Linked DNA regions of Oryzias latipes. The protein of the gene in region 2 purifies or fractionates together with the protein of the main gene of each other region. This does not show direct contact. Links are inferred from orthologs where the notes say so. Each region holds a gene or a part of one and is shown on either strand. Other genes may lie near its edges. The genes, in order: timeless and clspn.

Region 1 (2,501 bases), on a different chromosome or scaffold from region 2:
GTATCTACGCGCAAACATGTAATTACAGAAGACACAGCCGTGTCAACAAACTAACCTGATCGTTTTTCAATGGAAAAATCAACATGTTGGGGCCAAATGTATTCATTTTTCTTGGTGTCAGGGTTTATGACTGGTGCTCACATGTAATTAACAAAACCTCCAGACTTGCTCTTCAAAAAAGAAAAAGCAAGTCACTTTTGTTTATTATCCAGCTGTCTCATAAAGATTTGGCTTAAATTTGTTCATAAAACCTGTGTTTTTGACTGGAAGTCCATCAGCTTCACCTCGTTTTTGCTCTGCTCATCTTAAAGCAAAGTTTGTGGATTGTCAGGTCCCCTTTATGGCCACGTGGGATGGGGGCAAGCACAGATGCTGCAACAGGAAATTACTAATGTGGTCCAGATGTGAGGACAGCAGCTTCCAAAACAGATCACAAAATGTTGACTGCCGAATATGAGCCATGACCCGCAGGTACAAAACATTTGTTTTGCCGTTTCCACTAAACAAAGAAAAAAAAGTTTTTTAGAACTCCTACTTTGATTTTATGTCTCCTTATCGTTTAAGAATAACTGAGTCACTTAAACAAGAAAAACACAAAAATGACTTGTTAAAGAGACGTAGATACAGCAAGAATAAGAACAGTTTTAATCAAAGTTTATATTTTTGTATTTCTGCTGTTCAGGAAAAAAAGGACTATGCCCTCTAGTGTTAAAAGAAATTAGTGCATCAGAGCTTAAAAAAAAAAGAGGAAGATGTTCTCTGCTGTTAACTGATATTTTATTGGTGAGCATACAAATAGGAGATTGAACTTTAGAATGCAACAATAAAAGCACTTTACCTATAGAAAAGTGAGTGTACACCAAATGCAACATTTTCTCAACATTATATTGAAGTGACACGAACAAACAACAATCTGCACAACAGAATAAACTGGTAAGTAAAAATAAAAACATCAAAAGAACTTATTACTTTAGGTTTTTGGTACTAAATGATCCCACTCTGATTCCAGAAAGCTTTGTGCCACAGAAGACATGAGAGATGAGACTCTACGCAGTCCATTAAAGACCATCACTAATCCTCCTCTTCTTCTTCGTCATCTATCAAGACCATTTTCCGCCGTCGTTTAACAGGAGCAGAAATATCCTCCCCGTCTGAATCTGCTCCTGCATCCACGTCCATGTTCACTGTGGTGCTGGAGTCCAGCTCTGGAGAAAATAAGTCATTTTAATTATAAAAAAAAAAAAAAAGAACAATGGTCATAAAAATAATTTAAGCCTAGAATTAAAGACGACATTTTAACATTCAATTTAAATCTTTTCTTTTTGTGTACCACCTGACTGACAAGACTTTGACTGACTTTGAAGGTTTAAACAAAGCAAAAGTTTACATGTATTCAAAAAAACCTACAAGAAGTCACTAATAGAACTTTATAAGGCCAGAAACGATTAGTTAAACAAAAAATGTCACTTAAGCACAGTTGCAATGCAGAATTGTATTGTGAATGTTTTGTATCTATCTGTAAATAGCAACACGCATATTGAATACGCACATCATCATGTTTTGGAAAAAGGGGTGGGAGCAGACAAGATTTTTCTTCAACCCACTCCTTTTCAAGCACACTGTATTATTTCATGTCTTTTAAACCACTGTGTGTTGACTTTTCATTTGTGTTTGAAATAAAACTAAACTGAAAACTGAAACAATGGATACAAATCTGAAGAAAAAGAGCAAAATACCATTTTCCATCTCCTCATCATCTGAAAGTCCCCTTCTGCTTCTTTTAGTCGAGGTCTTCTCCTCCTGGGATCTGCTGCAGACAGTCAGTTGAAGGTTTAAGGAGACTCGAGGGTCTGTGCGGCATTTGGTTTTTAAAATCTCACCTCTTAGTTAAGCTGATTGAGTCTTCATCAGAATTTGCATCTGATGCAGCATCTAAAGGAACAACAGAAAGATTTTATTTAAAAAAAATATATCAAAATTCATTTTTTTTCTATTTCTTTTCTGAGACTCATTGACTACTTCCATTAATTTAATAAATAGAAATTATTAATATTTTATATTCATGTATTTTTGGTGTAAAGCAATTTGTGTCACCGTGTATAAATAAATAAAGATGGATTTGATCTCCATACTGGCTCTACCGGTTTCACAGAATTTGATGCAGAAAAATAAAGATTGGCTCTAAATGCTGGCAGGTGAAACTTCTCTTTGATTAATGTTTGCAGTTTTACAGTTTGCCAGGTGTTCAGGTAAAAGGTTTCTTCCTCCAGAGACCTTTTAACACTTAATAGGAGAAAAAAAGCAGGACCTTTTTAGTCACTCATCTTTTTTTGTCAGTGTTTTCTTTTAGGATCAATTAAAGAGAAATAAATCCCTGCACTTTGCTTTGTGAAGAAAGTATATCTTTAACCTTTTGGGGGGCTTACTGTGCTGACGTAAAGCTCTAAAGAATAACTTACTAAGAAAAGGTTGAAAGTCCAACAAATTCGAAATGAACTGAG
Region 2 (3,818 bases):
GCCCACTCCACGACTGGAGGAGGGCCCCGCCAGCTGGCCTGAGTCTGCGCCGGGGGATGGGGGGGCATACAGGTCCTGAGAGTCCTCCACCGGGAGGCAGAGGGACGGCTCCGAGAGTTTTCCAGAACTCTGTCAGGAAAGAAAAAAATGATTTAAGAACTTTTTCTAAGACTTTATTTAAGTTTATTTACTCAGACTTCTGTCGCAAAATTAAAACACTTAAAATAACTTAAAAATGAAAATTCATAAACTTTTCTGAAGTTGTCTACCTTCGAGGCCGAGCCAAGGAAGTTGGGCCTGAAGAAGCATGGCGATGGCGACCGGAAGGCGGCGGAGCCGAATGCCGCTCTCCCGGTGGCGCGCTGGTTGTTGACGGGCTGGTAGGAGGTGAGCATGGATCCTGCCAGCTCGAAGCTGCTGTTGTGGCTCATGTCCTTCACCAGGGACAGGGAGTCCTCCTCCTCTGTGGGCGGGGCACAGACAGATGGCGCCCTTTTCAACCCAACATGCTCGTCAACAGGAAGTGGCAAGACCAGCAAGCACTCACCAGTCTTGTTGCTGCTGTCGGGCCCAGGTGGCGGCGCTCTCCTGACGCCGTCGCTGAAGAAGAACGTAACGCGTTAAAGTCTTAAAAAGTTTTTTTTTTTAAACAGTTTTTTTGCGGGGGAACGAACCCGGTACGAGAGCACGAGCTGCCGGGAAACAGCATGAGGGTGCCGTCGGCGTGGACAAGGTCGGACACAGGCGCCACCTCGCCTTCTTCTTCAGCGCCGCCCAACAAGTCATCCAACCCCTGAAACACAATTGTTTTGGAATTTTTAAGAACCATCTGAAGACCCTCTGAAGGTTTCCATGATTTATGATTTTTCTGGATTACACCAGCAGGGGGAAGCACTGAGGCTCAAATCCATCAGGGAAACCTAAATGGTTTTCCTTTCGCTGAGTCTGGTGGTTTTTGTTTTTTTAAATCTTTCAGATAAAACCCTTAAAGTTCTCACCTCCTCTTCCTCCGACTCATCTGTCATGTCCTCCTCCTCTTCCTCCTCCTCACAGTCTTCGTTGTCCAGGCGGTGCAGCTCAGCCCTGCGGGCCCGCTCCTCCCTGCGCCGCTGTGCCATGGCGAGCTGCAGGCGCTGCTTTAGACTCAGCAGCTTCTCTCCTTCAGAGACGCGCCAGTTAACCACACCCCCACTACTACCCTGTAGCTCCGCCCACGCCTGCTGCTCTTCCTCACCTGGTTTGGCGGGGACCGGCTCTTCGGCGCCATCTTTGACAGTGATCGTGAGCGTCTCGGACCGCAGTTCCTCCTGCCCTGAGGGGGCGCTGTCTTTGCGCACGATGTTGAGCTGGAGCGTGCGCTCTCCGGGGGGGTGCGCCGGGGGTTGAATGTGACGAAGGTAGCGTTCTTTCAGGGCCGCTACGCCTGTGGGGGGTTGGCGGCCATGAGCAAAACGGAGGGGCAGGTCAAAGATGCAGCGGAATCAAACTCACCTGGGTTGAGTTGGGGGGGCTCCAGCTGAACGAAAGCGCCCTCGTCCGCGCACAGCTTTGCCACAGGCGGGGGGTCCAGGCCCAGCTCCTTCAGTCTTTTCAGCTTCCTGGTTTTGACGAGCAGAGGAGCAGGAGGCTCCGCCTCCTCTTGCTGCTGGACCTCAGAGCCCGACTCTGCAGCAGTTCTGGTTTCCTCTGGAGGCGGGGCCAGGCTTCCCCGCTCGCAGTCAGAAACAGGTTTCTCCGTTGCGTCTGACTCCTGCAGACTCTCCGACAGATAAAGCATCGGGCCCGATTCCAGCTCCGGATCAGAACCTCCAGAAGCTCCGTCTGGCCCACAGAGACTCTCTCCGTGGGCTCTCTCTCTCTCTTGCTGCGGGGACGAGGTCGCTGAGGGCACAGGCAAAGACTCAATCTGATTGGTTGAGGGCTCCAGGGAAGCAGGGGTTTCCTGCTCTGTAGTTGGTTGGCTGGACTCCTTCACGGGAGGAGCGTCGGGCGGCGTCTCCAACATCATCTGAGAGTATTTTGAAGATCTGATGGGAGAAAGATGAAATATTGTTTTCAGAGCAAAGATCTTTGATTTGTTCGCAGGTTCAACTCCAGGGTTGGAGAGAAACTCAGCGCGACTTCCTAGTGCCTTTACATGAAGGGGCTTTTATTTTGAAAAAGCAAACCAACTTCCTGCCTTTTTTGCACTGCAATTCTTCTGCTCAACGACTTAAACGCCTATATCTCAGAGTCAAACTCCCAAACAGAACAAACTACGTTTGTCGTGGGGAGGGTCTTACTTGAGCAGTGCCATTGCGGGACCCTGGGGGCGGGCTTTTCTCCTGTAGAAGTCGTGGATGCTTTTGGGCTCTGGGATGTGGTATGGCAGACCCAAAGAGGACTCTGTGGGGGCAGGAGGGGATGTTAGCTCAGGTGGAGCGGGTGGGGGCGCCGCAGATGGGCGGAGGAGCGCTCACCTCGGATCAGGCGCTGCGACTCGCTGTGCAGCTGCTTCATGGCCTCTCGGCTCGCCCTCGCCGCCTTCCTCTCCTGTGGACAGGAGAACAACAAGTTGATCACATGACTGACACTTCCCTGGCTTGGGGGGAGACTCTGGCTCCGCCTACCGCGCGGTGGGGCTTCTCCGCTGCCTCGTCATCGTCATCCCCCTCACTTAGAAGGCGTTCCTAAAGAAACAGAACCTTTGAGCAAGGCTTCATCGTGGAGCCCCAGCAGACGGCTGACTCGGATATTTATCTTAACCTCCTGCTTTTTCATCTTCTGCTTGACTGCAGCTCGGATGGCGTCCAAAGATTCCTCCTCCTCCTCTTCTTCGTCGTTTAGCCCTGTGTCGAACAGGTCCGTGTCGCCCAACGGACACCCGCTGTCGTTCAGCGATCGCGGCAAAGCACCACCCTAACGAGACAAGACGGGTTTTTACCTCACCATCTCTCTGTTCCGATCCGTTTGAGCAAGCAGAACTTACCTCATTTTCATCGCCAAACCTCCTCCTCTTCAGCTTCTCCACCGCGTTACTTCGCCTCTCCTGTTTCTCACGCCGCCTCCGGCTCTTCTCTCTGTTCTTCGCCTCTGCCTGCTGCGACTCCTCCCTTCCATCCGACTCGCCGTCCTCGCTGTCGGTGAGCCGGTGGGCAACTCTCCTCTGCGCTCCTTTCCTGCTGCTCTGCTCCTCCTCGCCGCTGGATAGCTGCTGAGCTTCTGCCACAGGGAAGCCGTTTTCTGCCGCTTCCTCCTCCTCGCTGTCACTGTCTCTGATGGCGACACGGCGAGGCTTTCTGTGAGCCGTGATGTCATCATCAGAGTCTGCAAAAACAACAACAAAAAAGAGAATCTGTAAAAAAAATAAACATGAACCGAGAATGAAGACTTAATCCTGAAGAAGGTGTTCACATTAGACACAGAACCTCAGGGCTCTATTCTCGGCCCTTTCCTGTTTTGTCTTTATCTGCCTCCAACAGGAGGAGGAGGAGGAGGAGGTTGTGGAGGAGCAGTCATGAGTCTGGTTTGTAAAACAGTGCAGCTTTTTTTCTTTTTTAACATAAATAATAATTTGCGACAAAGCTTCATGTAAAATTCATTTTTTTATGTTTTATCTAAAAACTGTTTTTTTTAGAGTTTCCTCGTGTTTCTCTAGGCATCCCGTATCAGAGTGACCCAGAGAAGCACTGCACGTTTTTCCAACATCCCGATCATTCTAGATCAGTGGTTCCCAGCGAATGCGGGCCGGTACTGGTTCGTGGGACAGTTAGTACAAAGAGAGACAAAAACACATAGAATTTGATTCTGAGGGAAGTTTTATTTAAATATGCATGTCA

Evidence for each region.
Region 1: the proteins of clspn (region 2) and timeless purify together in Homo sapiens (affinity purification with western blotting; 4 studies listed by BioGRID). This does not show direct contact. The link is inferred for Oryzias latipes from reciprocal best matches to the Homo sapiens genes CLSPN and TIMELESS.

Annotation. Positions count from the first base shown.
Region 1 is NC_019863.2:27,135,198-27,137,698, reverse strand, and holds the end of timeless (protein timeless homolog), read right to left. Parts: intron 1,933-2,501; coding exon 1,881-1,932; intron 1,811-1,880; coding exon 1,737-1,810; intron 1,206-1,736; coding exon 1,072-1,205; 3' UTR 759-1,071; downstream 1-758. UniProt on the Homo sapiens protein: Plays an important role in the control of DNA replication, maintenance of replication fork stability, maintenance of genome stability throughout normal DNA replication, DNA repair and in the regulation of the circadian clock.
Region 2 is NC_019869.2:20,039,002-20,042,819, forward strand, and holds part of clspn (claspin), read right to left. Parts: intron 3,307-3,818; coding exon 2,969-3,306; intron 2,899-2,968; coding exon 2,746-2,898; intron 2,670-2,745; coding exon 2,610-2,669; intron 2,533-2,609; coding exon 2,460-2,532; intron 2,386-2,459; coding exon 2,283-2,385; intron 2,028-2,282; coding exon 1,492-2,027; intron 1,424-1,491; coding exon 1,235-1,423; intron 1,160-1,234; coding exon 999-1,159; intron 794-998; coding exon 675-793; intron 601-674; coding exon 548-600; intron 464-547; coding exon 270-463; intron 130-269; coding exon 1-129.